Macaca mulatta: one gene and its partners. The protein of the gene in region 3 binds, or shares a complex with, the protein of the main gene of each other region. Links are inferred from orthologs where the notes say so. Each region holds a gene or a part of one and is shown on either strand. Other genes may lie near its edges. The genes, in order: SUDS3, SAP25 and SIN3A.

Region 1 (9,797 bases), on a different chromosome or scaffold from region 3:
GAGAATGAACCTTTTCCAGTAAAGGAAGGCCCGTTGATTCAGACTGTTGCGGCAACTGATCAGAACAGTGTGGAGATGTTGGCACTGTTGCACTCCCCCTCACTCACTGCAGACCCTTGATCCACTGGGTTGGGTGGACTTTAAATAGGCCCCTAGTGGTTTCTGCTGTGTGCCTTGGTTAAGAACCAGAGTTAACTCTGCGGAGGTATGTCTTCCTTTGGTGTTAGTGAAACAGTCAGTGTTGATGCTACAGAATAATTTTAGGAAACAAAATGTAGGGCAGATTGACATTCACAATAATTTTATTTTTTAAATGTTCGAAATCAGGTACATTACAGGAGTACCAGAAGAGAATGAAAAAACTAGATCAGCAGTACAAAGAGAGGATACGGAATGCAGGTAAGGCTCCTTTAAATGGAAATGAATCATCTTTAAATGTCCCACCGTTTGCCGATCATCAGAGTAATGTAGCCCTGAGAGCTGTTCTCCAAAACGTGTCCCAGATGTTCTGTCAGGGAGAGTTTTCGAAAAAGAGACTTCCAAACTGTGGTCATGGAAAGTGGTTTCATCTTTTGCTAAGGAATGGCCCAGTAGTGGAGGGTGTCTGAGGAGGCTCCTTGCAGTTCGGCTGTTCTCTCTGGTACCCCAAGAGTAGTCTTGCACCTGCAACTCTTGCTCATGGCCGCATGGCTGGCCTGGTGTACAATCAGAAGTGCGGCTGAGGAAAAGGATTGTAGGTTGTTTTTGTCCCATTTTAAGTTTGTTTCTTTTGGTATTCTGTGCTAGGATTGGGGAGGGTCCTCTTGTTATTTTCCCCAAGTATTATTTCTATAAGAATTTAGAGAAAAGGCACACTTTTGGTTGGTTGTATACAGTAAATCTATTCATTCAACAAAAATGAATTAAGCACCTGCTACATCTAAGCACTGTGAGCAGTGTAAAGTCATGTAACGCATTGCTTTGACTTGAGGAAACTTGGTGTTTCATTGACAAAAGATACCACATGTGTAAAGTTAAGGAAGACCGAGTTAAAGAACCATGCAGAAAGTAAGATGTGACAACTGTTTAAAGTGTGTAAACGTGAATTCCTGAGATTATAGGAAATCTCGTGTATGTGTAGAGTTTTTAACACTCATCATCGGCCAGCATTTTGGGTGCCAGCAGAGTCCTTGTTCCTGCAATGGTAGAGTAATGATGGGTTTTAGAATGCGGGTGGGGTGCCATTCCTCATGCCACCGTCATCTTTCATTCTGGGCCAGTGACTCTCCAACCCTTCACTATCTCTCCTCAGTGAGAAGCTGCCCAGTGCATACCAACAGATAGAAAAGGGGCTGAAGTGCATGTGGGCGCTGAGAAAGTATAGCCCCAGCTATTAGCTCTCTGCCTTTCCACCTCCTGCCTCTCCCTGCTGTTACCCCCATTCTACTCTGAGTTCCTGAAGCTCCTCCTTGAGATGTCTTGAAAATCCTCAACCGGTTGCTCTTCCTAGACTTCCCCTTTAGCAGATAAAGAAGGTGGCATTTGTGGAAAGAGGTGGTCTTAGGTTCAGATCCTGCCTCCTCGCTTTAGATGTGATCTTTAAGCAGAATATTTGCTCTTGAAACCTCAATTTCCCCATCTATAGAGGGGAATATTAATACCTCATGGAACTGGCATAAGATGGAAATCAGGAAAGAAAATGGATGTGAGTCATATTTCTGAAGTTAGAACAGCAGAGTGAGTATTGAGTTGTTTTTCTTCATTCTGCGCAGACTCTCAATCATGTCCTCGCGTGTTCTTTCTTTCTTTCTTTTTTTTGAGACAGAGTCTCACTCTGTCGCCCAGGCTGGAGTGTGGTGGTGCTCTCTCAGCTCACTGCAACCTCCACCTCCCGGGTTCAAGGGATTCTTGTGCCTCAGCCTCCCAAGTTGCTGGAATTACAGGCGCCTGCCACCACACCTGGCTAATTTTATAATTTTAGTAGAGATAGGATTTCACTGTGTTGGCCAGGCTGGTCTTGAACTCCTGACCTCAGGTGATCCGCCCAGCTCCCCTTGGCCTCCCAAAGTGTTGGGATTACAGGCATGAGCCAATGTGCCCGGCCCTCATGTGTTCTTTCACATTTCCCTCTCCTAGGTAAAAATGCAGAAGAGCTCCTAAATCAGTCACGACTTGAGCTTTAAAAAGCACATTCTTTGCAGAGATGATCCACCTGCTTTAGTGATGTCTGGCTGCTTTAACTAAAACCACTGCCACCTCTAAGTGCTAATTGTCATTTTAGCTTGTTGGTGCGAGGCATGATTTCTCGGAATGGCACAGAACTCCAGCTGTCTGGCCCACTTGTGCATGGTACGGGTCTGAAGTTGTTACAGGAATGATCACATTGGGTTGGGTGTGCCTGGGTTCCTATGCCCAGCAATTCCCAGTGCCAAAGTGGGTAGGATTTCAGGGGCTAAACAAATAATGAGTGGCTTGTCCCTTTCCTCAATTAATTTTCTCTGTCAACAACTATTAATCAACATCTGGGCTTTTAATCTGGGGTTCCTGGAACTGTCAGCATTCTGTGGAGTTTGTATATGTCCTTTTTTCTGGGGAAGGGATTCATAGCATTTGCCAGGTTTACAAAGGGGCCCATGGTAGACTGAGAATAGCACCCCCTGGAGAATCTTTGTGGACTGTATGCACAGCCCCGTGTCACCCAGGAAAGAGTAGAAGCCATGAAGCAGTTTTACTTCAAGTTGGTGCGGGTTTGTAGACAGGTTTGTACTCTATTGTAAATCTGGTGGTGAGGGGAGCTGCTAGGTAACGGTTACTAATCATCCGGCACATGGCAGGTGTAACTGAGTTGTTGAGTGCTGTTAGATGGGTGCTTTAAGGCATCTGAAGGGCATGATGTGTGAAGAGTCAGCAGGAAAGGCCTCAGGAGGGGGCTGCATTCGGTCAGGAACTTGGGAATGTGCATAGGAGATCAGAGGGCATTGCAGGGGCAGACACCAGTGTGAGCAGAACTTGGCGACCTGACAGTGAAACCCCAGGTGTGCCTGGAGCCTCTGTCCTGTGGATTGCCTGTGAAGGTCCTTCCTTACCACACATAGTCCTTCATATAGTGCTTTAAAAAGGGGGTCTTGGCCAGATGTAGTGGCTCACGCTTGTAATCCCAGCACTCTGGGAGCTGAGGCCGGTGGATCACCTGAGGTCAGGAGTTCAAGACCAGCCTGGCCAACATGGTGAAACCCCGTCTCTACTAAAAATACAAAAATAAGCCAGGCGTGGTGGTTCGCACCTTTAATCCCAGCTACTTGGGAGGCTGAAGCAGTAGAATTGCTTGAACCCAGGACGTGAAGGTTGCTGTGAGTCAAGATCATGGCACTGCACTTCAGTCTGGGTGACAGAGTGAGACTCTTTCTCAAAAAAACCAACCCCACCAAAAAACCAGGGGTCGCCAGCCCCCAGGCTGCAGAACACTGGGCTGCCTCCCTTCACCCAACGCCTGACCCCCTGCCCTGTCCCAGTCCGTGGGAGAATTGTCTTCCACCAAACTGGTCCCTGGTGACAAAAAGGTTGGGGACCACTGCTTTAAAACGTCATATCCACTCTGTTTCTGGAGTAATTACATTATTTCTTCTTGACCCATCCTGCTACTATGGGGACTGTTGGCGGCTGGACTGAGTGAAAGAAGGGATAAGTTTATTTTGCCAGGGGAGTTTCGTTCCTGCTGCACGTTTTTTACCCTCAGGTGGAACTGCCACAGCTGGTATGTTCAGGGCCACATACTTTTTTTTTTTTTTTTTTTGACCAGGTTTCGCTCTGTCACCCAGGCTGTAGTACAGTGGCACAATCTCGGCTCACTGCAACCTCTGCCTCTCAGGTTCAAGTGAGTCTCCTGCCTGCCTCAGCCTCTCGAGTAGTTGGGATTACAGGTGCCTGCCACCATGCCTGGCTAATTTTTGTATTTTTAGTAGAGACGGGTTTCGCCATGTTGGCTGGCTGGCAGGGCCACATTTTAACTAGACTTGAGTACTTCTTGCGTCCTTTCCCTTCGTGTATATCAACATTTCACTGATGAAAACATTTGCTCTGTGTAACATGCTTTCAGAAAGCAATTACTGCTTCTAAATGAATGCTAACATCACTGTCTAGAAAGGTGGCACAGCCTAGCAAATCTAATTACACTTTTTATCTCTTGCAGAACTCTTCCTCCAGCTGGAAGTAAGTACCACAGATCTTCTGGGTTTGCAGGCCCTTTCTGAGACTGGAATCTTGCAGTCCTGATCTGGTGGCTTTTCCTTCTATCACCAAGTAGATGGTTTGGAAGCCTTCACCACTGTTCTGTTTGACTAAAGGACATTTGGTCTCAGCTCAGACATCCTGTCTGGTCATTGGTTGTTGAGCAGCCTCTGCTTATCACAAGGGAATAAGGAATACTCACCCCTCACTGCTTATTGACTTTTATCCCGCATTAGAGCTGTTTGGAAGTCTCTAAGTTATAACGGCCTAATAGTTTGATATTGGTCCTTGAAGCAGTTCAGTCTCTGAATCGGCTCAGCGGTTCTGTTTTACAGCTGCAACTCTCTGGGCCAGTAAAAAAAGACAGATTTCTAATTTTTCCTTTCATTCTATGGACACCTGAGTGCTGGTTCTGTGTCAGACTCTGTGCTGTGATCCAGAGATGAGGGCCTGTATCTTTAGTGATGTACTGCTCCCAGGGTGGCTAGCATGTGTGTGGGGGTCACTTTTGGAGAAAGTCGTGGTTTTTCAGAGCCACATTATTGGAACCCACTTTCCTTAAATCAGTTTGATGCCCATAGTCACTCAGCTGGAAGGATCACGTGATCAGCCTGAAGGTATACTCAAGTGAGGTACACACATCCCTAGCCCACCACAGGCCCCGATGTCACTCACCACAATGGCGAGATTTGAAAAGCAGAGGCATATACAACTTTTGTCTTAGTATAATATCAATATTTGTGTACTTTGGGGTTCAGACACTTACTAAATGATGTTCCATTCTTTTGTCTTGCTGTATCAAAAATAATAGTAACTTATGCTATCTGGCCTCAATATCTTGTGATTATTTTTTGAATATACACAATGTAGAATCTCCTATTTCCCTTTGAAGCTGTAACTTCATGAGCAATTATTTACTCCCTTTGAGAAATGTGTTTTAGTATAAAATATAGGATGTGGACGAGAGAAAAATATCTGCGTAGCAAGTGAGGTATACTCAAAAATAAGCAAAAGTCATGTGGGTCTGATTTTACACATTCATTGGAAAGCTTGCTCCCAGACACGCCGTTACTGCAAGCGTGTGTGTGAGAGGGAAACTCTGTGTGTCATGTTTCTAGCAAAGGTGTTTTCTTTGCTGTTGAGGACAGGGCTAGACTTTGAGTTGGAGCCATGGCTTCCAGCGCCGTGTACTCCCAGCCTGTGTTTCTCTTTTGCTCAGACTGAACAAGTGGAACGAAATTACATTAAAGAAAAGAAGGCAGCAGTGAAAGAATTTGAAGACAAGAAGGTTGAGCTGAAAGAGAACCTGATTGCTGAGCTAGAAGAAAAGAAGAAAATGATTGAAAACGAAAAGCTGACAATGGAACTGACTGGAGGTAGGAAGGCCCTATGGGGTGGGATCCTGGGGGTCCTGAGCGGGGCTGTGAAGGGCTGTTCCAGTTACTTTTGTCTTACATCTCAAGAGCAGAGCAAGGTGGAGAGTGGGTTTTGACCTTATAAATGAGAGTTCCTCCTCCACCTTCTATTGGCTGTGTGACCTTGGTTAAGCTGCTTAACTTCTCTGAGTCTGTTTTCTCCTCTATGAAATGGGGCTGATCATACCCTCTCACAGGATTGTGGTTAGACATATGAGTGCCTAGTACAGTGTCCTGTGCATAACAGGTCTTCAATAGTTGCTAGACTTTTAATAGTAATGGCAAGCTCTGGCTTAGGCTCTACTTAATTCCTGGGTCCGCTGCCATTTGTATCTTGGTTATGTCCCCACATTGCTTACCCAAGTCCCCTGTGGTGATGGGAATCCCTCTGCTTTGTTTTTTTCCGGTCTGCCTTAATTACAGAAGAGGTATTGTCTTCCTTTGACCTAGATGTAAGAACAAAAGCTTTTGGCTCTATCTTCTGTGCTATTAGATCTCTCCTGCCAGGTGTTACTGTGAACATTTCAGAAAGACTTGATATGATTCCAACAGGATAGCTAAACTGAACTATTTTCCCATGGAGGTAGGAAAGTTACATGAGACTCAGAGCCAATCCCTTTCTAACCTTCTAGGATTTAGTAATCCACATATGGGAACTCAGCAGGTTGTAGGCAGGTTTCAGGGAGAAACAATATGGGCCGACTCTTCTGTTGCCATATGTAGACTGATGATTCCTAGAAGGATATAGGGAATTGGCTTGAACTCGCTATTTTGGAACTTGGCAAATACTGCAAGGCAAGTCAGTGGTGAGTTTGTCACTTGGATATGGAGGTGGCATGCCTTTCTGTACATCCCCAAATTTAACTCTTACAATTCAGAAAGTGCTGGGGCTCTGGCGTGTCTGATTTTAGCAGGGTTCCATAGGAAATGCATGCAATGTTTTTGTGGATGTTCTCAGGGCTGACTTTGAAATTAAAAGTAGCCAGTTAAGATCTTTGTTCCCCTCCTTATATTCCTGGTGTTGTGAACCAGCTTGGCCTTCTGACTGACACCTCTGGCTCCAATCCTCATGGTACACTTAAGAGAATGTGGTTGTGCCTGAGGTGGGGTCTGACTTTTGAAAAATCTCTCGTCTGTTAGCTTCCTTGTAGAAAGACTTGGCAAAAGAAGTGAGCTCTTTGAAGGCCTCTGAAAGCAGCTCAGAATTTTTTTTTTTTTTTTTTTTTTTTTTGTGAGAATGGATGCCAAAACACAGCTTCAGGCAGTATAGTCTTGTTCTTGTGGAAGTGCTTATTTAATTAGACCAGTAGCAACGTGGTACCTTGTCTGGTACCAGTCTGCCGGCTTTTGGACCTGCACACCATTTCCTTTGATAGTGGCTGTGACTGGCATCGATGCCTCATCGCTGTCTGCTACAGCCACCAGATGTTTGGGAGCCTTCATTAGGCTAGTGGGAAATATTATCCGTTTATAGCTGCTCCCTTTCCATCTGTGGGAAAGGGTATCATCACCTTACCTGTGATTTGGCATCCTAATTATTGACAAGCAATTGATATTGTTTGGCCAGGCAGTTTTACAGCCAGAATCTTAACTGGGACAGGAGGCATCCTCAGTGACTTGAGGCTGAGCCTGCCAGGGTAGAAAAGACAAATAAATTCAGGGAAATCATTTGTAACGCAATAAAATTGATTACAGAAGTGTTTAAAGCTAGCCATGGGCATTAAAGGTACGGATGTCCTTCCTCAAGCCATTTGGTACCCTTGGTATGGAAAGCACTGCCAAGGTAATGATGGAGTGTTGGAAGACAAGGCGCTGGAGCTAGAAGGGTAATTAGCATTTCCACAGATGGTGCTGCTATGGTGTTGGATTAAAGGCTTGATTTCATTCCTCTAATTGAGTGACTTAGTTCACCTTTGTGGATTGATGCCCAATATCATTGTTGCCCAGCTCTGCCCTGGAAAGATACTTTTTAAAGTCTCCGTTTTTGGTTCAACATGAACATCTCTTGAAAAGCGAAGTAGGATAAGAGGCTGATGAGAAGCTTGGTCCAAATAACCCACCGGAAACGGGTGTATTTGGCGACCTGCTCATTCCCACCATGACTTAAAGCGTTTACAAACCTCCATAGGAATTGGCAAGAGGTACTGTTTACCGCCCAAATCTCTTGTGGAAAACTTAGGGAAACTGGGTTGTTCAGGCAGAAATGAGTGATTGTGCGTAGAGAAGCTAGGATGAATTATGGTCGGTGCAGCCCAGCTTCAGTGTGTTAGGTCAGTGGGGTCTTGATAAAATGCGGATTCTGTTTCAGCGGCTTTGGAGTGGAGGCTGAGATCCTGCATTTCTTTCTTTCTTTTTTTTTAATTTAATTTTTTTGTTTTTGTCGCCCAGGCTGGAGTGCAGTGGTGCAGTCTCGGCTCACTGCAACTTCCGCCTCCCGTATTCAAGCGATTCTCCTGCTTCAGCCTCCCAGGTAGCTGGGATTACAGGCATACACTACCATGCCTAGCTCATTTTTGTATTTTTAGCAGAGACAGGGTTTCACCATGTTGGCCAGCTGGTCTCGAACTCCTGACCTCAGGTGGTCCGCCCACCTCAGCCCCCCAAAGTGCTGGGATTATAGGTATGAGCCACCGCGTCCACCCGAGATCCTATATTTCTGACCACCTTCCCGGGGGGGCACTGATCCTGCTGGCCAGAGCACACTTCAGTAGTGAGGTTATAGATACACTTGCCTGAGGGTGAGATTTCTCTGAAGCAGAGGCCAAGACTACAAGTAATCCAAATATTCGATGAGAACTTTATGAGCTTTAAAATGTGGGGAGCTTTACCATTTTTAATGTGTTTTTCTTTCTCTTACTCTTCTCTCCTTTCTTCCTGTAGTTCACTACCTGCTACTTCCTTTTCTTTTGTAAGTTCTTGCTCACCAGGGGCGTCTTCCAATCCTTAGGCTTCCCCAGTGAAAGCCACCTGTGACCCTAGTAAAGACTGTGAGTTTCCTTTAGAAGATGGTGGGTTCAAGGCTGGTACCACGAGTCATAACAATGTCAGAATAGAAGTCTGTTTCCCAAGCACTTACACTGAGCCAAGCATTACATAAATATATTAGAGCTAACTTTGCAGGCTGATAGACCAGGGCTGAATCCTGGCACTGTCACAGATTCAATTCTGAGGTAGGGTTTTCTCATTTGGCCAGGGGATGATAGAACCTTCTGGAGAGGGTAGCTGTGATGTGAGATGAGATAATGCCTGTTAAGTTGCTTCAGAAAGTAGCTGGTTCACAGGGTGAACACTCAGGGATTGGGAAGTTGTAACCTCACTGAGTTCCTGCAGCTCCCTTTGACCTTGGGGGTATTGCTTCTGATTTTATAGATGGCAGAGGTGGCTCGGAGAAGTGGAGCCATTTGCTCACAGTCCCTCAGTGAGACAGATAGTGGTTAAGCCAGTGTGTGTCTGGCTCCAAGCATATTCTCTTCACCACCACTACTATTGACTCTCTGCAGATACCATAGATACATGTGGTGGCACTAAGACTCACAAAATTAGGCTAATGAGTAAAGTCTGTGTCTTCCTGGAGGCTCTTTTCTGGTAGAAAGCTGACATAGCTTCCTTGACTTCCCCCAAGGTTATGTGGTGTTGAGATGGAGGGCCCCTAAATAAAGTTAACAATTTGACAGGCTCGTTTTTGACTCATTGGTATATTTAAAGACAGGGTCTCACTCCAGTTGCCAAGGGTGGAGTGCAGTGGTGCCATCACGGCTCACTGCAGTTCGACTTCCTGGGCTCAGGTGATTCTCCTGCCTCAGCCTCCTGAATAGCTGGGATTACAGGCATGTGCCACCTTACCTGGCTCATTTTTGTGTATTATTTTTGAGACGGAGTCTCGCTCTGTCATCCAGGCTGGAGTGCAGTGGCGCGATCTCGGCTCACTGCAAGCTCTGCCTCCTGGGTTCGCACCATTCTCCTGCCTCAGCCTCCCGAGTAGCTGGGACTACAGGCACCCGCCACCATGCCCGGCTAATTTTTTGTATTTTTTTGTTTAGTAGAGACGGGGTTTCACCATGTTAACCAGGATGGTCTCGATCTCCTGACCTTGTGATCTGCCGGCCTCAGCCTTCCAAAGTATTGGGATTACAGGCATGAGCCACCGCTCCCGGCCTTTCCTTTTTTTATTTTTTT
Region 2 (10,290 bases), on a different chromosome or scaffold from region 3:
CCGAGGGGGTCTTCCTGAGAGATGGCCTCTTCCTCTGAGGTCTCCTTCAGTGGCCACCTGACTGGGTTCCAGCGGGTATGGTCTGTGCACAGGGACTACCCCCTGAACCTACTTATTCCAAGTCACCTCCTATCACCCCCAACCCTCAAGAAACTGAATCTCCAGCTCAGAAATAATCCAGCGTAGTGCTCAGTGATGGTGGCTCCTTGGGTTACTTGGAAGGGCACAAAACCACTCCTGGATGGGAAGGGGTTACACACAGGAAGGACACCTATAGGCCGAGGGGGGCGCGGCAGAAGCCGGCAGGGTGCGTGGAGGCCCCGCTCCACCGCCCTCTAATCGCCAGCGCCACCACCGCTGCCACAAGTCCGATCACACTGGCCTCACACGGAGGCTTTCTCGGTTGCCCGGACGACGTGTCCGGACCGCAGTCAGCTGATCGGTAGAGACGCCCCCACGCTCCCTGCCCCTGTAAAGGCTCAGTCTTGGCGTCGAGGCCGCCTCTCTTGGACTTCCCTACTCAAATTCCAGCGCCCGGGCGACGTGAGGATTCGTCTCGTGGGGTGGGGGCTCAGGAGCGGTCGGCTGAGGGAGGGAGGTAGTGGGGAGCCCAGGCCACGGGCAGCAGCCACTGGGACACTCGCTGTGCGCAGAGCCCTTGCCCCAAACTTCCAGTCAGGAGCCCAGGAGAGACGCTGGACATCAAGACGCTGGACTCCCTGCCCAGACTCACCCCCACCCCTGCTGGCCTCTCCCCGCGCTCAGGACACGAGACCCAGCCATCTCTGCCTCTCCTGCAGTCACTTTATTGCCTTCGGCCCTGAATGAAGCCCACGAACGGCGGCCCCGGGGAGAGCCGGGAATGGCCACCATGCCCCTCAGCCAGCCGCTGCCCTGGGCCTGCCCTGCAGACGTGCGACTCTGCCGCCACCTGCGCGCAGACCCGCCGCGTCCCGAGTCTTCTGAGAGCGATCAGAAGTTTCGGGCTGGCCGGGCACGGCCCCAGCTCAGCCTAAGCCTGGCGGGCGCGTGACAAGCGCGCAGACGCGCCAGCACCACCTGATCCTCCTCTACACCCACGACAACAGCCTGCGCGTGGCGGCGGCAGGCGAGGCGGAGCAGCAGGCGTGATACAACGCCCTGCTCGAGGCGCGCGGTGCCGCCCGAGCCCTGGGTTGCCGGGGACCCCGGGGGCTTGTGGCTGTGGTTTCTCCGTGGCTCGCCCCTGCCCCAGGTCACCGAAAGTTCAAACATTAAAGGGTTTGCATGTTTAGAGTTCTCCGGGCACAGGCCCGGTGCGGTAGCTCACGCCTGTAATCCCATTACTTTGGGAGGCCAACGCGGGCGTATCGCCTGAGGTCAGGATCGCCTGAGGTCAGGATCGCCTGAGGTCAGGAGTTCGAGACCAGCCTGGCCAACATGGTGAAACCCCATCTCTACTAAAAATACAAAAATTAGCCGGGCGTGGTAGCACATGTCTGTAATCCCAGCTACTCAGGAGGCTGAGGCAGGAGAATCGCTTGAACCAGGGAATCGGAGGTTGCAGTGAGCCAAGATCAGCCACTGCACTCCTGGGTAACAGAGCTAGACTCCGTCTCAAAAAAAGAAAAAAAAAAAAAGTTCTCCGGGCACAATGAGGCCCAGGCGCTCAGGGCCCAGGCGCTCAGGGACCCTCCTATGAGCATCTTCAGACTCCCCATCCCTGAGACCCCGGCTTCTGCGGCCCAGTCAAGTGGCCTGAGCCATCAGGGGTGTCTGCGAGAGGGGATCGAGCAAGCAGCCCTCAAGACCTTGGCAAGGCTGGGTGCAGCAGCCTCCTACCCCAAGGGGCAGGGTGGGGGCTACATAACCAAGGGAGTGGGGAGTGACTACGAGCCCATGGGGACCATTCCTACAAGTCTGGGCTCAGGAGCCTGGACCCAGGCCAAGGAGCGCCCATCACGATGTGGGGGCTGGCTGGGCTCCTGGCCCCCTCGGAGCTGGCTGGGGAGGAAGTGTGCATCAAGTTATCCGCCCGAGAGCCTCCGAACAGTCACCGCCAGGCCAGAGCCCCTGACGAGCTGCCTCAGCTATGTTGACCTGGACCTGGTCCTTTCTCTGGGGGCACTTGGTGACGTCCCCAGGGCCTGCACGCTCCGCCCACGTAGCTACACAGGCATTGAGTTCTAGAACTCCCCGGAGGCGCCGGTGAGGAGACCTGAGACCCAGGCAGCTCTCTCCTGCTGACTGATTGGGGGGTGGTTGAGGCAGGGATAGGAGGGAGTGGTATTGTAATGCCCCCCACCCTGCCTCCTAACCCCCCACCACGGGAGAGACTTTAAGACCCAGATGCCACCTCGGACAAGTGACCTGCAGGGCAACAAGCTGGGGTCTCTGCCCGCTCTGTCCCTTCCAGCTGTGGCACCTAAGTCTTGAGTAGGAGGTTCTCCAAGAAGTTGGGCTATTTTATGGGAGAAAATTCTAGAACCCATCCCCGCCCAAACCACCAAAACTACACACTTCTGGGCTTTCTCAGCTGAAGCCCTGATCCTCTGTTTCTCTGCAGAGTTCATGCAAGAATCTCTAGAGTCTCAGGTCGGCTGTGGCGGGGCCACCTTTCTGCCAATGGTGACATTCATGTGGACCGGCACCCTCCCCCACACACCTGCAGTGCGTTCTGTGTCTCCTTTGAGCCAAACAACTACCCCACCCAGCCCAGAACTGAACTCCGGGAGCCCCAGCACAAGAGGTGTGGGAGCACCAGGGATCTTACCGCTAGTGCCCCCTAAAAGTAAGGTGCCCCTACTTACTCCCCCACCTGGCAGTTTATGGCTCCTTGTTTCCTATAAATTCAGCTCTGCACTGCCATGCAGACCACCCACTCACTCATTAAAGGGGCTCTGTCTGGTCGGCCCAGAAACGCCTTAGGTCATGGATACCCCCGTCCTCCGCCTAACACAGCAGGGGGTGATCTGTAGTGGGACAGAAAGAGACCCCATTCCTGCCTCTATGCCCTACTCTGCTCCCAGCCACACGGAGCCTGTTTTGCAAACCAACACTGCTTTATTGTCAACACAACCAGCCCATTCTGCCCCGAGAAGGCTATGGACAATGGGTGTCTGGGGTCTGTGGGAGAGAGGGGTCAGCACCCTGAGAACTGCTGGGGCTACCACAGGGGCTTGGTGGGTCAGAGGTAGGGTCTGGGGGGCCAGCAGGGGGCGTGTCAGCCACGGAGGAGCTGGGCCTGGGTTCCCCCTGGCTCATCTGCAGTAGGCCAGTGAGAGCGATCAGCTCCGGCCCACTGAGCCAGGCGGTGGAGGGGCTCCGGGAGGGTGACAGGCGGGGGAGGACCCAGGCAGACATAATGGGGGGCGGCGGCAGCAGTTTCAGGGAGCCCATCACCTGAGGAGAGAGAATGGGATGTGTTTCCTGCCAGGCACGCCTGGAGGCTGGGGTAAGGCCAGGGAGGGGGAAGAGCTCTCACCTGCTGGGGGGCCTTGGACAGGTACAGGGGGACACGCTGCCCCTGGGGCAGCAGAGGGTCCGAGAGGAAGACATCTTCACAGCACATCACCGGGAACCCTAGAAGGAAACACCACTGGGGTGGCAGGCTGTGGGCTCCCACCCCTGGGCACTGGTTCCGGGAGGAGTTGGGGCAGCCTTGCACCCCCAGAGGACCAAGGGAGGTACCTGCATCTGGGTGCGCCTGCTGTCCATTCCAATGCCCTGTGGCAGGGGCCACAGGCCTGAGACCCCTGCCCGAGGCTGCCTCATACAGCGGCCAGAACGAGGGGTGACACAGCGTCCGGCCTGAGAACGAGGCTCCTGAGCTACAGTTGGCCCCCTAGGGTGAGGAGGACAGACCACTGGAGCCTCAGGCCACCCTGCAGCTCCCTGAACACCCCAGCCAGCCCCACAGGTTTGCCCTCAACTCACCCACACCGGCTGACGGCCCGCTTTCGCTTCGTACTTGGGGTCCCAGGGCGCTAGTGGAGTCATCCTTGAGGGGTCCACCTCCCAGGCCACCTGGGGGGAACGGGGAGCTGGGGGGACACTTGGGGATTAAAACAGGCTCAGAGTCAGAGAGGCTCTTGGCGGTAGTAGAGGCAGCAGGACCCGTCCTACCTGGGGCTCCGGGGGGCTGCTCAGTGGCTGGGCCTGGCAGGCGGTGGGGCAGCGGCAGCTGCTCACTCCGGGTCCAGGAAGGGCTACGGGATGGGGGCCGTGGGCTGGAGGGGCAGGGACTGAGGCTGCAGTTACACCGCCCCCACGCACCTTCCCCTGGAGCCCAAGGGTGCCTGGTGCAAGGGAGGCCGAGGGACCCAAACTCCGGCAAGGACAATGGAGAAACCTCCGCAGAGGGCGTGGTGAAGGCATGGAGGTCCCCAGTCGTTGTCCCCCCGCGGCTCCGGCCGAGCCCCTCACCTGTCCCATGGGGATGTCCCCAGATCCCTGGGGGCGTCCGCTCCGGAGCTCCAGGGCTCGCCCTGGTCCTTGCCCGCCACAAGGCCTAGTCCCTCGGGCGCCTCCTCCGGGCCCGCGCCCCACCGTGGCGGCGACCAGGGCAACATTCCGCGTTCCAGAGCGCAGGGCTGCACCGCAGTGTCCCCGCCGCCCGGCCCGGCCCGCTCAGCCTCCCTCTACCGCGCGGCGCGAACCAGCCCTCCTGGCGAACCCACCCTAGAGGCCTCGCGGCGACGCCGGCGCCCTGTGCGTCTCCCGGCCACGTGGCGCGTGCCCCCGCCAGGCTCCCGCGGGCGCCCCCTGGCGACCGGGCGGTGAATTCCGGATACAGAGGCCCCCCCCACAATCCCGCGACGCGCGTGCTCTCAGACACAGTTACACCTGAGGGCCACCCAGAGGGCTTCTGGCTTCTGTTTATTGCAGCTGACGCGACACCTGCGACACCCGTGGTCTTTCCACCCAGACCCTCGGTCCCAGAGGCAGCCAGGCCCGCAGGCCAAGGGGGCCCAGGCCCAGGCCGCCCTCACCGAGTGCTTGTCTCAGAGCGTGGAGCCCAGGCGCGTCTTCTGCTCCCGGGGTCCCAGGCGGGGTGGGCCCTGCCCCCACCTTCACCCCTAAGGCCGGTCCAGCAGGGCGTGGACGACAGCAGCGATGTAGGGGAGGCCCCTTCCCGGGGCCCCCTCCTCTTCCAGGATGTGGTGGGGCTGGCACAGTGACTCCTGGGGGAAGGGGCCGGGTTAGCTTCCCCAGGGGGCCCCCCGTGGCTTCCGGCCTGTGGCAGGGGGTCGGGGGCAGACCCGAGCATCACCATGCGCTCAGGGCTCGGTGACAAATGAGACGCAAGAAAGCTGTCAGCGATAACAGAAGGGAGATGACACGGGGGGAGGCGGAGGCTCCGGGAGCATGAGAGGCTGGCATCTCAGAAGGGCGATGCTGGTGGGCACAGAGCCATGGCCACAGCCACCGCCACGCGGAGCAGACGCGCGCACACTTACACACACACAGGCAAGGCGGTCACGGTCTGTACAGTTTATACACAGAGACAGGGACCCGGCCTGGGCCCCACACCCCTACAAATATAGATCCTCTCTACAAAATAGAGATAATTTAGCCCCCGCATAGCAGCCGTTGCGGGGGAAGGGGAGGGCACAGGAGGAAGGGGGAGACTCTAGCTCCTGCCACCCCTCACGGGGCACAGAGGGCAGGGGCAGGGCCGGCGGGGACATGAAGGCACCGTCAGCACTGAGAGGTGGGGACTCATGGGGCTACCGGAGGGAGGCCAGAGGCTGGGGGCCCAGGGTCTGGGGGCACCAGAGTGGGGCCTCTGAGGTCAGTGTCTGTGAAGGGGGTGCACTAGTGTCTTTGGTCGGGGCTGAAGGCACCGCAGGTGGGGTCGGGTGGAGCAGGGGCCTTATAAATAGAAGGGGGGAGGGAAAGGGGTAAGGGAGGGCTGATTTCGGGTCCTAGGAACCCAGGAGCCGAGTGTAGGAGACATAGAGCAGCAGCATGAGGACCACGTAGAAGATGACGAAGCCGCCCAGACCAGAGGGGGGCCAGAGGGGCGGTAGGGCCTTGCCCCCCACCCGCTTCACGGCCTCCAGCACGGTCCGCAGCCCCCGGGCAGTGCCCTGGAGGAGATCCGAGGGCGAGCACAGGTCAGCCTGGGGGAGAGGAGAGTAGATGGACAAGGACAAGGGACAGATATCAGCAGCAGCAGCAGGACAGTCCCTCCCACCCCTGCCCTCACGTGCTGGGGCCAGAACCACGCCCACATGCCGACGTGCCGGGCAGGGGGAGTGCAGGGCAGCGGGAGTGCAGGACAGGCAACATGCAGGGCAGGGGGCGTGCAAAGCAGGTGACATGCAAGACAAGATGGGGCCTGCAGGGCAGGGGACGTGTAGGACAGGTGACATGCAGGGCAGGGGGCATGCCAGGCAGGGCAGGGGCAGCCTGTGCCTCCATCTGAGAGCAGACACCTGCTGCGAATGGAAGCCCGCCATCCATGCCACACGCTGGCTGAGCCCGGCATGCCACCACTCTTTAGAAAGCAGCCCCCATACCTCAGGCACTCCCATTTTTCGACAGGCTTCTAGGAAACTCTCCACATTCTTCCGAGCCTTGAGGGCACTGAGTTTTGGCTGGGGTGGGTGAAGGAAGAAAATGTGGTAAGGGAGAGGCCACAGGTGCCCCAGCCCATCCCCCACCTCTTCCCCGGCCCCAACTGACCACAGCAGGAGAGGGCACATGGATGAAGGGCACGGAGCGCGGCCGTAGCTGGTTGGCCAGTTGGCACAGGATGACCCCGCTGGCCAGAGCCTCGGCCAGGTCCTCGGGCAGGGGCCGCTGCAGCCGGGACTCAAGGACCTGGGAGTGTAGACCGCATAGAGCAGGGGTCAGGGAAGGAGAGGTATCTGGGAGGCAGGGAGAGTGGGGGGCTCAGGGCCAGCAGGGAACTTGTGCCTGTCCCCTTCTGTCCTCAGGGGAGGTGCCAGAGTGGGCACAGAGGATGTGGAGGGAGGCTGGTCCCAAGGACAGCAACACAAGGAGGTGCCCGGCCCAGGTCCCTGCCCACACAGCTCCCAGCTCTGCTCACCTGGCGCAGCTGAGTCATTAAGTCCTTCTCATCTGGAATCTGGGGGGACCGCCGAGGTCTCAGGACAGAGTCTGGTGAGGAAGGGCCTAGGAGAAAAAGCAGGGCATGGGGCTGCCCCCACTGCTCACCACTGACTCTGTAGCTGGGTCCCAGTGGCCTGGCACCCACACCTCCTGCCTCTCTGCTTGTGGGATTTTCTTTTTCTTTTACATGGAGATGGGGTCTCGCTATGTTGCCCAGGCTGGTCTTGAATTCCTGGGCTCAAGCGATCCTCCCACCTTGGCCTCCTAAAGTGCTGCAATTACAGGTGTGAGCCACCACACCCAGCTTATTTGTGGAATTTTCAACACAAAGGTACAACAGACCCAGAGGGCTCCCAGGGCAGAAGGGTGATGTAGCAGTTGCTGCTGGCAAGCACTGGGTCAGCACTGGGGAGGGCGGGACACCCACCTGAGCCACTCTGAGAGGAGGAACGGAAGAGGAAGCTGTTTGGTCTCTGAATGGAGCCAAGTGGCCTCGGAGCAGGTGCTGTTGCTGGGGCCAGAACCAGGGACACAGCAACAGGGACAGGTGAGACAGGCATCCCCTCTGTGTCCCTCTCTCCCAACCAGCCCTCACCAACACAGGCCCCATCCTCCTCCCAAAGTCCCTGTCCCACCTGGTCCAGCTATGGGAAGGGGCTCTTGGGAGGCGGGGGCAGGGGCAGGGGCTCCCTGCCCCACTGTAGCTCCCGCTTGGGAGGCACTGGACTTAGGCGGGCCACTGAGGAGAGACAGAAGGGAGTTAGAGGGATGGTCATGGGAAGAGGAGTGGGGACCGGATGCTGGCAGGAAACCTACTTGTGCGTGGCTTGAGTGGACATGGCGGTGGCTCCTCCCACAGCAGACCTGAGCCCTGACTTCAAGAGGCTGGAACAAGGAGAGGTGGGGTCAGCTAGCCCCGAGGCAGAACGGCTTAGTGGGGCTCGGTGGCCCCATTTCCAGGGCTCAGTGTCTGACAACAGCCCCGGGCGGCCCTGGGTCCCACCTGTCCTTCCTGGGGGGCCCCCATGCCCCACTCTGCTGCTGCTGCCGCCGTTCCCGCTCCTGCCACAGCTGCAAGGTGTCCGGGCGCCGCCGCTCCTCCCCTGCCGGCTCCTCCCGCCTGAGGGACCAAGACAGGGTGAGAGGGGCAGACCCTGGGGTCAGGGAAGGAGGGGGCTGGGGGGTGGGTGGATCAGGCAGTGGCGTCGGTTTCAGGGCTTGGGATACCTGCTGCTTGGTGCCCTCTCCCTGTCCCCTGCCCCGGGGCTTAATTCGGGTGGTCGCTGCTCCTAAGGAGAGAACAGCAGAGCAGCTGAGAGCAGGCCTGTGCCCACGCCTGCCCTGTCCCCTGCTCTAGCTCCCCTCCCTTGGGAGAGGCACAGCTGGGCTCTCACCTCCACAGTGCCTCGCTCTTCATCCTCCCCCGGGACGTGGCTGTCGATGAAGTCAATCTGCTCAGGGTCTCCGTCCGCTGGGGAGGCCAGCATGTCAGCAAGTGAGTGGGGACCCTGGTCCAGCCCAGCTCCCAGCCAGCCCTGCTACTCACCTGAGCCGTCCTCCCGGCGTTCTCTGGGTCCCCGGGGCTCCCGGGCCAGCTCTGAGATCCGGAATGACAGCTCTGAAAATTCATCTGTTGACTGTAAAGGCAGAGGCTGAGATGGGAGATGGCCTCTCTGCACATGGGGGCTTGGGGCCTGGGGGGTCCTGTGTGGGACTAAGCTCAGGGTCTTTGCTGAGCCAGCCCCTCCCTGGGATGCTGGGCAGAGGGAAGGAAGAGGACAGCTCCAGCCTCTGCCTGGTACCCTGCAATTTGGATGTCCCCAGTTCAGAGGTCCTCTCCCAGGGCTGACACCCCCAATTTCCCATGGACAGGACGCCCTTACCTCATTTCCAGACCACCTCTTGCTGCCACTATCAACGCTGTGGAAGCCTGAGTCCAGCCCGCCATCATACCGATGTCCCGGAAACAGATCCTCTGCAGGGCTGGGGCCAGCCAGGGAGATCTGGTCAGCCTGATGCTGGACAGCAGCCCCCAATCCTCCCAGAAAGCAGGGGGTACCTGGGGCCAAGAAGGGGCATTCAGTATCCCAGGGCTTCCTTGCTCCCCACCTAGGACTTACCAGGGACTGAAACTCGGGGGCCGAGAAGGGGCCAGGTCCCCCAGGGCTGACCCACGCTGCCCAGCTTCTGTGGACAAGTACTTGAAGATGTGAAGTTTCCCCTTCAGGCAGACCTGTGTGCGGGGCAGCACACGCTGGGGAGCTGGCAGGGAAGGCAGCTCCCCGGATCCTGCTTGGCTGCCCAAGAGGACCAACCCCACTCCTGCCCAGCCACACCCCTGTCCCTGTGGCCCCCTGGGCCCTCGCCTCACCTGGGCAGGCGGGCTCTGCAGGGGGTTGCTGTCCAGCAGAATGACCTGCAGGTGCCTGAGGCGGCAGAAGGAGACCGGGATGCGGGAGACGCGGTTACAGGAGAAATCCAGGCGGACCAGAGGGAGGTCCCCCAGCTCTGGAGCGGGTGGGCAAGGGAAAAGTCAGGAGCGTGCTCAGGCCTGGGGCCTCACGCTCACTCCCTTCCCCTTGGCTCCGGCTGGCCAGTCACCCTGGGCCTAGCACAGCCTCTCCCCTGGGTGGTTCAAGTCATTCCCCGGAACAACCTCCCTGCTCCTCTTTCCACACGATTCTGGTCCATAGTCTAAGCAAGCTTCCCTGAGAGGGCGCATCCGGACATTGGCTTAGCCTCCCTAGGAAGGCTCATCCGGACGTCAGGTCCTGCCCAGCCCTGTCTGTCCCTCCTCGTCTCCTCGCCTGCCCACTCCACACTCAAACCCACCCTCCATTTTCAAATGATCAGCACAAGACACAAACCCTGCTCAAACACCTCCCGTGACATGCAGCCAGGGCTATCGATGTTGAGCCGGTTGTACCTGCCCGGGAGTCCCCTCTCCCCAGCATGGGCCCAGCACTGCACCCTGCGTGAAGCGCTGCCTGCCCACAGGGAAAGATGCCTTTTGCTCATCTTAAAAAGGCACGGTCTGGATTCATGGTGGCCCTAGGCACAGAATAAAAACCATAGCTCCCTAACCCAGCACGAGCAAGGCTTCCATGACCTGGCTCCACGCACGTTTCCCACCTCACTGCCCACCCCTCCGGGCCCTTGGCTTCTGAGCCTTCCCAGGTGCTATTTGCTCAGTTGGGAGAACTCCATTTTCCCCATCCACGCATCTTTCAA
Region 3 (10,411 bases):
TTTGAGATGGAGTCTCGTTCTGTCGCCCAGGCTGGAGTGCAATGACGTGATCTCGGCTCAGTGCAAGCTCCACCTCCCGGGTTCACGCCATTCTCCTGCCTCAACCTGCTGAGTAGCTGGGACTACAGGCATGTATGCCACCATGCCCCGATAACTTTTTTGTATTTTTTTAGTAGAGACCGTGTTAGCCAGGATGGTCTCGCTCTCCTGACCTCTTGATCCGCCCACCTGGGCCTCCCAAAGTGCTGGGTTTACAGGCATGAACCACCAGGCCCTGGCCCATTACAGACATATCTTAATAAGGACTCAGGTTTAATACTCAGACTGAAATGGAAAGCCACTGGATGGTTTTAAGCAGAGAAGTGACAAGGTATGACAGGTTTCAAAAGAATCACTTGGGTTGCTATGTTGAGAAGAGATTTAAGAGTTGCAGTAACAAAACAAGGAGAATAGAATCCAAGCTAGAGATGCACAGGCGCTGACTAGGGCAATGGAGATGCAGATCCCAAGTGGTCTAATTCTGGATAGTATTTTGAATATAGAGCAAATAAAATTTACTGATGGACCACATATTAAAAAGACAGAGAAGAGTCAACAATGTCTCTTAGTTATCCAAGAGGAGACATCAAGTGGAGACCTTGAGCGGGCCACTAGACCTATTAGTCTACGGTAGAGGGAGAGATCCCCGTTAGAGAGTCATCAGCATTGTTTGGATTTTAGAAAGGCAATATGGTACATATACTGTATCATCTCTCTCTCCCAGCTAGGGCTGGGGTAGATCCCCGTAATCAAGCAGTAGCATTTCTGCATCATGCGGGACAGCCCAGGTCAGGTTGTGCCCCAAAATTAGTTGTGGAACTAGACTTACCAAAAAACAAAAATTCTTGCATTTCAGAACTGCAAATAAAGGATGTGGACCTGCATATCCTCCAATAGACCATATATCAGCAAGCCTAGCCCTGGAGGACACCAAGAAGACTCATGAAGGGTCTACTGTCATGCTGAAAAATATGGGTAACATACAAGCACACAAGACAAAAAGGGGGTAAGGAAAACAAAAGCAAAAGGGGCAAATAAGAAATACATCAGTTAGAAATTGCCAGCAATGACCAGGCACAGTGGCTCACATCTGCAATCCTAGCACTCTGAGAGGCTGAGGCAGGAGGATCTCTTGAGCCCAAGAGTTCGAGACCAGCCTGGGCAACATAGGAGGACTTCATCTCTATAAAAATATTTTTAAAATTAGCCAGGTGTGTGGTGGCACACACCTGTAATCCCAGCTACTTGGGAGGCTAAGGTAGGAGGGTCACTTAAGTCCAGAAGGTCAACACTGCAGTGAGTTGTGATCATGCCACTGCACTCCAGCCTGATGACAGAGTGAGACTTCGTCTCAAAAAAAAAAAAAAAAAGACATTATGCGAAGAAAAGACATTATGCGGCTGGGTGCAGTAGATCATGCCTGTAATCCCAGTACTTTGGGAGGCCGAGGTGGGCGGATCATGAGGTCAGGAGTTCGAGACCAGCCTGACCAACATGGTAAAACCCTTCTCTACTAAAAATACAAAAATTAGCCGGGAGTGGTGGTGCCCCAGCTTCTTCTTCGTGGAGGCCGAGGCCGGAGAATCGCTTGAACTCGGGCGGCGGAAGTTGCAGTGAGCTGAGATTGCACCACTGCACTCCAGCACTCCAGCCCAGGTGACAGAGCAAGACTCCGTCTCAAAAAAAAAAAAAAAAGTCTAGTGCCTAACACAGTATCTGTGACACAGTAAGTGCTCAATAAATATCATCTTTTATTATTCAAGGGGCAAGGAAGGTGTATTTTGAAAAAGCATATACCACGTATTTTTTTTTTAAAGGCCTACAGAAAGTAAAGCCTAACAAACTCTTGGCTGGTGGAATTGCCCAGAAAAGTGAGAAAGCCTTGAAAAGCACTATGCTGAACTACTGAATGCCATGGACATAACCTTTTAATTCCAATTAAAATTCCTGGGTACTAACATCTGCCATGCACAGCTCTCCAGTGTCTTGTCTGCTTACACTGAAGATGTAAAAAGAATTATACTTTGCCAGGAATCTTGTCAAATTACTACACACCTCCTTCCTTAAAAAAGAAAAAAAGTCTTTCTCTGTATGTAAATTATTAAAACCCTCTTAATTACGAAGTGCCAATCTTTCTAAGCTATTTATCTCTGAGCAACATTATAGTATATAAAATAATTATCTGGAGATTATGAAGCATTTATGAAACCGCTCCTAATACAGCAAAACCAAGTTCTTACTTGAATCCTTAAAGACTCTTCTGTGTTCCCCAGTATACAGCACTGCAAATCATGGGAACTACTATATGTAGACCAAATTTTCCTCAGTGGTCAATAGTTCTCCACTATCTGTTTATGGCATCAGGAAAAAAACACCTGGATTTTTTGTCTCCCCATCAATTCTATTACAGCCATCATTAGCTAAACTAAAATGCTGTTGCTTTTGCAACTTCCTTGGCAGACAAGATAGAACCTACCCTTTTCACATAAACACAGCACAGGGCACCACTCAGGCCCTACTAACCAAAGCACAAATCTAGAATTTCACTTCAGATAATTAACTAATTATCTAACAATATCTAATGTCAGATAATTAGACATTTAAACCAATGTCTAAATTCAGGCTCATTTAGACATTACTGCATAAATAAACATTGGTTCCATGTTTATTTTTCTCATGAAAAATGTGAAAAATATTGAAATAATTTCTCTCAATAGGAAAAGATAATGTATCAAGTGAAAGCAAAAACCTCATCTAATGTGGTTCTGCTATAGGTTAGATTTGAAATGTCCTAAGGCAACTCTCCAATGCAGGCTGGAGAGCAACGCTACAGAAGTCACATACAGAAGGCTACCCTGATCCACAACTTCACCCTACTCTGAAATATAAAGGGCAAGAACACTGTACTATGTATACTATAAATAGAAAGTGGTCTAGATGATCGAACATAATTACATAAAACCAGAAAGAAAAGACTTCTCACCTATAGTTACCTCAATAGCAAATTCTTTGGGAAACCAAATTTTTTCTGTTTGTTGAGACGGAATTTCGCTCCTGTCGCCCAGGCTACAGTGCAACGGCCCGATCTCGGCTCACTGCAACCTCGCCTCCCGGGTTCAAGTGATTTCTCCTGCCTCAGCCTCCCCAGTAGCTGGGATTACAGACTCTTGCCACCATGCCCAGCTAATTTTTGTATTTTTAGTAGAAATGGGGTTTCGCCATGTAAGCCTGGCTGGTCTCGAACTCCTGACCTCAAGCGATCGGCCCGCCTCAGCCTTCCAAAGTGCTGGGATTACAGACATGAGCCACCGCACCCGGCCAGGAAACTAAGTTTATATAGTAGAACCATCTGCACAATGAAAGCATTCAAAACTACAAGCGTCAGAGATATCAGAATATTTTATTCAAAGTCTGAATTTTTCTTAAAAAAAAAAAAAACCTATTTTATAAACAGACCAGTTTTGAGATTAAAATGTAAATCCCAACTTTCCTGTTATAAATCTCAGCCTTGTAAAGAGGAGGAGCTTCCACTGCCTTTTCAAGGCTAACTTGGTTAAAGTCCTAACGCACCGAAACAGACGCCAAGTCTACTACCCACCACCCATTGGCTCAAAGGAAGCCCCGCCCCATACAGCCACGGTAACTGAACATCGAGGGAACCCCAGAAAGGTTTTCTCTCCGCCACATTTCTAGTCTCTGATGACTCCCTGCCCCTCCCCGACCATCACCACCGCGGAAACAGGGTTCCAGCACCAGCCACACACGCTCCTACAAGAGGACCTTAGGCACTTCGCCCCAATAGATACAACCAGGAGGGTGGTGGGGGTGACCATGCTCCCACTCTCTCAGCTGCACGGTGCCAGACACGCTGCATGGAGCAAACAGAGAAAGCAGCTCCGGCATAGGGCCCTTGTGCCCCAGGCAGAAGGCATGACCGAGCCACAAGAGTAAGTCCTGACACCTCCGCAGCTCTCAGTCGGCGGGAGCCCCTCCCTCCCCACGGAGACATAAGGCGGGGCAGACCTAGGCGGCGAGACTCCCAGCCAGACCCGACAGCGGGCTTTCCCTAGCACCGCCTCATTGCCAAGGAGGCGGAAACCCAGGGCCGGGGTGGGAGGCGGGGGACGGCCAAGGGGAGTGGCATCACGGATCAGTACGGCCCCTCCGGCCAACCGGATCCCGAGAAGGCGGAGAAACTCAGACTTCACGCCCCCTCCCTGCCGCGCCCTGAATCTACACGCGGGAGACCCCCCTACCCGTCCCCGACCCCAGCAGGCAAGAGCGCGGCCGCCAGCCCGAGGCCCCGCCCACCCCAGGAGGAGGAGAGGGGGTGGTCGGCCGCAAACAGCACTCAGCGAGAAGCCGGCCCCGCCCCTTTCTCCACAATCGCACGCGCGCGCCGGCCCCGCCTCTGAGCGGCGGCGCGAGAGCCCGCCCCCCTCCGCGCGCACCGGGACTACGCTCTCCTCCCCCTCCCGCGAGGAGAGCTACCCTGCTCCGCCCCCCACCCCCCTCACACAGCCACACACCTCCCGCCCGTCTGCTCTACGGGAAGCCGAGGAGGTCAGCCCCCCCTAAAAATACACACCCTCGAGTCCGGCGTTACCCGCCACTAGGCTCCCGCCCGGCCCCCGGCCCAGCGTGCTCTCACCGCAAAGCTGCTTCGGCCGCTCGTCACTGCGTGTCCCTCTCGGCGTGAGCCGCGAGCTCAGCAGGGAGGCCCTGAGAACGGCGCGGGGCACAGGCCCGCCGAAGCGGACTGCCAGCTACCTCTCCGCTAACCAAGCGGTCACAGGCCCCGGTGCCCAGACTGGGAAGGAGGGAGGGAGGGAGGGAGGGAAACTCCGAGGGGGGAAGGGGAGGGGGGAAGATGGAGAAACCGTCTCCGCCGCCTCTACCGCCGCGGCCGCTTCTCTGTTACCCGGGAAATCCCGCCCACTCCCCCGACCCCGCCCCGCAGGGGGAAGACTCAGCTTCGTTCCAACACAGGACGCAATACCCGCCCGTCAAAGACTGAGCCAATCACCGAGCCCTGCCTTATGACTTCCCGCCCCTTCCCCCTCGACTGGGAGGGGAGAGGGAGCCGCTCACCTTCTCCACGCCCCTATTGGCGGGGAGCGTCCCTAACTCAACCCCGCCTATTGGAGACAGACTGCTGAAGCCCACCCCCGAGCCACAACGCTATTGGAGGAAGCGGGGAAGCTCTTCCTGTCTCATTGGAGGACACCACATAACCCGCCCCGCAGCGTCTCAGCCACAGGCCTAACAAGTTGGCTCCCGCCTCCGCCGGTCATCGCATTGGAAGGCTACCCCTGGCTCTCCCACCGCCCCAGTAAGGTAAGTAACCGATGTGGGGTAAAATGTCTGTAAGTGAAACAGGCTCCGCCTACTGCACTGCCGGGCCAGGCCCCGCCCCAAGAGTTGGATTGGCTATCTTGGCACTGGTAGGACCCTCCATTGGCCAGGGCGCCCGTCTAGGAAGGAACTTAATTCCGCTCTGCGCGAGGAGGCTGAACCTTAGCAGTCCTTTTGTGGAATGTTTACACTAGAGACTGAAGCTCGGAGTTCCAGGGCCCGAGACAGGAGGGGGAGCGGAGCTCATCAGCGGAGACTCCACATCCTAGGATTTGAAGGAAAGGCAGTCCACCCCGGCGGACTCTCTTACAAAAAAAATGAGAATGCGAACTCATCCTCCCTATCCAGTTATCTTTGCAGTTTACATTCTACACACTGCGTCCTTGTAAACACAAATATCCGGAGCAGCTGGCAACTCCTTTCAGTCAAGTACAGTACAGAACTAAGGTCTGGAGACCTAGGCAGAGAAATAACCCATAACCCCAAGGGTTGCCAGCGCACTCCCTAGAGCTGAATGTGCCTAAGAGGGCGGAGATAACCAAAAGAGAGGCGGGCCCTAACAGCCACCGCCCTGGCAAGCCTCCGGAAGGCGGAGCGTGAGGCACAAGGTACTCACGATCTCCCGGGTGGATCTGTAGGCATCCTCAGAACTGAGAAAGAAGAGAAAAGGACCAAAACAGGCCACAGCATAAATTAACCTTTGGAACATGCCACACTCAGAGAAGGGATAAAACTTCCGTAGTTGGGGACATAACGGCTGTTCACCTTCTCCTTAGCCAGGAGTGTTAATAGTCCCTGTGCCCTCTCTGTGTAGGTAACAGTGCCTCGAACGCACAGTGAGACAAAATGCTTTCAATTCCTAGTTTGCTTTTATTTATTCACCAAATAGGGCGTGGGCCTGACGCTGACCTTACTTTGGGGGGCGCTCTCTCGGCGCCAGGAGGGGACGGGATTACGTTGTTACCGCTCTCCCGAAGAAGTAGAATCCTCCTCCCGGAGAGCTAAGATCCCAAGGGACAGGCCCAGGGAACCCACTCCTAGGTCTAACTCTGTCCTCCCTCTGCAATCCAGCGGAAACGGCCAGGAACGAGCTCTGGCAGCAGGTGGGCCTCACTCCAACGATGGCTTCGAGCCGCGAAACCACAGCAGCGAATTGCGAACTCCAAGGGTAGCCGACAGGTGGAAGCAGCCTCGCCAGTAGCCAAACCCTGCCCCAGGACAGAGGTCTAAAAGTAAGTCAGACCAACAAAGCGACCCCCGGGCCAAGCTGCTCCCAGGTTAGGAGGAAGCGGCACTCCAGCAGAACTGACCCAAGGCTACTTTTAACTTTGCTCCGCCTTCCACCACTAGACTGAGTAGCACAGGGCATTCCCACCATGGTATCAAGAACTACTCAGAACCCAAGCCAGCATTAGGCTGCCCACGACTTCCCGTGAACACAGGGTACCACCTGCGCTGGATCTCGCCTAAGGGCCCGAGGCCAGGGTACTAGGTTGTCAGAGTCTCGGATACAGCCAACTAAGGACAGCTGCTACCATGCCTAGGGAAGAACAAACACTTCCAGCGTCTGCAGAGTTCTCGAGCTTAAGCTTAGGGAAGTCAAAGGGCGCGGAAATAGCCAAGCGACAGGGTTAGAACTTGAGTACTTGGCCCCGGCCTCGAAGGGCAGATCTCAAACCCTGCAGAACCTACGAAGCTTCGCTCCCGAAATCCACTCCGCACTGTAATCCCCTGGCTTCACCCCGAAGGCTACCAGGTCTCCAGCCTCGGTGGAACCTTTGTGTGGCTTCTCGGCTCTCCCCGCCCCCCTCGCCAAGGGCGCCGAGCCTAGGACTTCCGGGCGGGAGGGCAGTTCGAAGGAGCTAGGCGGGCCTCACACATGTGCGGAGCGCGCTCAAGAGCGAAGGAGGGAGGCGGGGAACAAGGCTGGACTTCCCCCTCCGAGCTCTCTCCGCCGGAGGAGGCCGGGCTACCCGTCCCACCAATCCGAGGCGGGGGCGGGACCTTGCGCCTCGCGTCAGCCGCAAGAACCATCCCTCCTCCCTCCGCGGAAAAAAAATCCTAGCAACTTAAACTCCAGCCCGGCCTCCCGATAGGCGGAGCTCGGGAGAATGTCATCCAATCCACATCCGAGAAGGGGAAAAAAAGGGAGTCTCGTCCAGCCAGTGGAAGACAAGAGAAGGCGGGGCCTCCGGGCGAGCCCGAGGTGGGTGGGAGAGAGGAAACGGGCCCGCCCCTCAGCTCCCCTCCAGGCGGGTTGCACAAGCCACCAGCGGAGTAGATAGTAAACAGTCTGGGCCGAGGAGTGCAGGCAGGGGCCGCTCGGCGCTCGGTGGACTGGGCCCCTGCGCCTCCTCTCCCGGCGTCGCCCCGCCCGGCCGGGACGGTTCCCGCCGGCGCCCCGCCTACCCGCCCGCCATCCCGGCTGACAGGCGCGCCCCCCGCGCCCCTCCCCGCCCGCTGATGCATTTCCTTTTCCCGATTCCGAGCGTGGAGACTGTTTTCCCAGTTTCCGACCTTCACTGCCCCTTTCAGGCCACCCCCTCGTGGGCGCGCACACGCCCGCGCCCTCGCCCCCGCCCCATCCGCGCCGAGCGGTCCGCAGCGGCATCTCGCAGGAAGGGGGAGCCCGGCGGCGGCACGGCCGGGGGAGGGGAAGAGAGCAGCAGTCGCCGCCGCCGCCTTGGGGTGGGCGGGGAAGCAGGCAGCTCCATGTTTGCAAGGGGATCAGCCGGGACCGCGGGGCGAAGCCGCCGAGTTTCTGGGGGTTTTCCGTACCACCGGTGCGAGCTCGTTGCCGGCTCGTGGCCTGCCGGGTGCCGGCACCAAATGCTGACTCGACCGCCAAGGCCAGGGAGTTTGGAAACCCGGCAGCTCGCGGGGCTAGCGGCGAGGCGCAGGGGATCTTTCCGGTGGCCTCTCCCGCCCCCGGCCGCCCCTCCCGCAAGTCCAGTGTTGCCCCCGCCCCCAGAGTCCATAACAACCGCGGGCCCACAGTGCCCGCGCCTCTCCGGAGCGCGCCCACCGCCCCCTCCAAGTTTGCAGGCAGAAACAAAACCCTCGAGGCGGCTGCCGCCCTTGTCCAGCGTGGGTAGCCAGGAAAGCCGCGGGCCCCGGCTCGCTTGCTAACTCCAGCTCTCGAGCAACTCCGGGCTCCGCGAGCTTAGTGGGCCCCGCCGACCATGCTCGAGCCACCGCCCCCTGCCGAGCCCGCACGCCGCAGCTCTGGCCCGGTTCTAGTCGGTGTGCGGAATCTCCCTTTTCTTTCTAATATTTTTCTTTTTTAAAAAACGGCACAACAGGAACTGGGGGTCTCCTGCCCGCCCCTTCTCCAGTCCGCCGCCAAAACCTACCGAAACGGACTGCTCGGTGAGATAAACTAGGCAACACGGCCGGCGCAGGGACGACCCCAGGCCGGGCCCACCCCCTCCCCACGGCTCCGGCCCGGCTGGGAAACACACACACTGGCGAGCGGGCGGCGCCAAGAGCTCTCCTTCCTGGCCTGTCCCTCGCCTACCTCGGCCGCGGAACTCCGAGCCTCCCCTCAGCTCGGTCCCAGGGCCCACGGGGCCCACACCACGTCGGGCCGGCCAGACCGAGCGGCCGGCGGACTAACCCCCCAAACGCCTGAGATTGGGGGGACCAAATTAAAAGCAGCTGTTTAACATACCTTCCGAGCCAGGCGAGGAGTCCTGAATGGGGGGAACGCCCCCCACGGGCTATTGGCTCCCCGGCGCTCACGTCAGTCACCCTGGGCCCGCCTCCGCCCTTCGCCCCGCCTCTTCCCCTTCATTGAACGCCCCCTCCTTCCAAAAAATATAAATAAATTAATTGAACTAAACGCGAGTGGGAGACGCATCCGTGGTAGAGGCCCTTATAGCTCCCTTTCCGCCGACTCAAGTTTCTTGAGGTCCTCGGACTGGAGGGAGGCCTTCTGGGACTCGGAGATCCGCTGGGTGGACGCGGAGGAGGAGCCAGCGTGGCTACCGGGCCCCAACTTCCTTCACACACACAACCCATTTGGAACTAGGTAGGAGAGGAGGGTAGGAGCACCCTGGCCACTGGCTGAAGTGGGCAGACCCCTCTGGCTGTGTGACCTAACCGTGTTCGGTCCCCTCTGTTAGGCGCCTAAAAATGAGTGATGCAAACGGGAAGCTCTGCGTCCGCGGGCAACAGGCACTTGTCTGAGCACCTACTGTGGGTCAGGCAGACATTCATACCGTACCTGCTGCTGGGTGCAAATACAGACTGGATGACATGCTTACTCTACTCCTCCAAGGGCTCCAGATTCAGCCGAGGAGATTCTACGTTAAGAACTAAGTCAAGGCAGGAATGTGTATGAAAATAGGAGTTTGTATGTAAATAGGAGCTCAGAGAAGAGAGATTCCTTCTCGCTGAAGGAAAATTGGGAAAGGTTTCATGGAGGAGGTGGCATTCAAGTTGGGTCTTAAAGATTTCATCCAGCAGAAGTGGAGGGGCAGGTCATTTTCAGCAAAGGACACAAAGGGGTAAATGCAAAAAAGGACCTTCATATGTTGCTGTAGTAATTTTAAAAAGTGGGGGTGGGGAGATGGAACAAACAGTTTAAGACTTTTAATTGGGTAAAATTCTTGGATGTGCACAGCAGAATGTGCAGGCAGCACGGTCACAAGGCCCACAGGCCCAGAACTATAGTGTAAGATGTTTGGCACCCTGGCAGAAAGATGGGTTCTGACGATGCACTGAGAGAGAAGTATCTATAGGCAGCAAGGGGAGGCCCAGAGGCTGTTGTATTACTGTATTTGGAGACTACAGAAGTGTCTCTTGTGGAAGGAATAGCCGAGGGAAGAGAAGGCTTCTTTTCTCTATCAAAGCCACCCAATCCCAAAGTTTTCCCCACCTTCAGCAGCCCTCAAGTCAAAGCTTTGACTCAGATCCTTCCTTGCATCGTTTGCTTTATTTATCATAACTTTCAACCAAAAGGAGTTTCTAGGGACAGAAGCTACCCCACATGTCTGTATTGCAGAGAGCTGAGCCT

What was found.
Region 1: the proteins of SIN3A (region 3) and SUDS3 are in contact, whole or in part, in an NMR structure (PDB 2N2H), measured with the Mus musculus proteins. The link is inferred for Macaca mulatta from reciprocal best matches to the Homo sapiens genes SIN3A and SUDS3. Residues at the interface, in NP_001103821.1 of Mus musculus: Glu616, Glu619, Leu620, Val623, Arg672, Ile673, Tyr674, Ala675, Lys677, Asp680, Ile681, Ile691, Ala692, Ile695, Val696, Arg699, Met702, Lys703, Glu706, Trp707, Glu709, Ala710, Phe714; in NP_848737.3 of Mus musculus: Ala205, Leu207, Asn208, Tyr209, Leu210, Leu211, Gln215, Ile216, Glu218, Asp219, Leu220, Thr222, Leu223, Leu226.
Region 2: the proteins of SIN3A (region 3) and SAP25 are in contact, whole or in part, in an NMR structure (PDB 2RMS), measured with the Mus musculus proteins. The link is inferred for Macaca mulatta from reciprocal best matches to the Homo sapiens genes SIN3A and SAP25. Residues at the interface, in NP_001103821.1 of Mus musculus: Leu121, Lys122, Val123, Ala126, Leu127, Leu130, Tyr144, Phe147, Leu148, Met151, Lys152, Phe154, Lys155, Thr161, Val164, Phe182, Phe185, Leu186, Pro187; in NP_001075431.2 of Mus musculus: Ala208, Glu209, Ile211, Ala212, Leu213, Ala214, Gly215, Leu216, Leu217, Gln218, Met219, Ser220, Glu223.

What each region holds. Positions count from the first base shown.
Region 1 is NC_133416.1:125,677,033-125,686,829, forward strand, and holds part of SUDS3 (sin3 histone deacetylase corepressor complex component SDS3), read left to right. Parts: intron 1-327; coding exon 328-399; intron 400-4,168; coding exon 4,169-4,188; intron 4,189-5,425; coding exon 5,426-5,582; intron 5,583-9,797.
Region 2 is NC_133408.1:47,776,525-47,786,814, forward strand, and holds SAP25 (histone deacetylase complex subunit SAP25), read right to left. Parts: upstream 5,043-10,290; 5' UTR 5,042-5,042; coding exon of another isoform or gene 4,858-5,041; 5' UTR 4,551-4,857; coding exon 4,405-4,550; intron 4,209-4,404; coding exon 4,105-4,208; intron 4,023-4,104; coding exon 3,916-4,022; intron 3,824-3,915; coding exon 3,670-3,823; intron 3,562-3,669; coding exon 3,464-3,561; intron 3,382-3,463; coding exon 3,082-3,381; 3' UTR 3,023-3,081; downstream 1-3,022. Other genes in the region: LRCH4 (leucine-rich repeat and calponin homology domain-containing protein 4), read right to left, coding at 5,907-6,104, 6,504-6,581, 6,670-6,807, 7,037-7,122, 7,487-7,570, 7,695-7,798, 7,876-7,944, 8,063-8,179 and 5 more. UniProt on the Homo sapiens protein: Involved in the transcriptional repression mediated by the mSIN3A but not the N-CoR corepressor complex.
Region 3 is NC_133412.1:53,490,528-53,500,938, forward strand, and holds the start of SIN3A (paired amphipathic helix protein Sin3a), read right to left. Parts: upstream 4,924-10,411; 5' UTR 4,691-4,923; exon of another isoform or gene 4,628-4,690; intron 1-4,627. UniProt on the Homo sapiens protein: Acts as a transcriptional repressor. Corepressor for REST. Interacts with MXI1 to repress MYC responsive genes and antagonize MYC oncogenic activities. Also interacts with MXD1-MAX heterodimers to repress transcription by tethering SIN3A to DNA.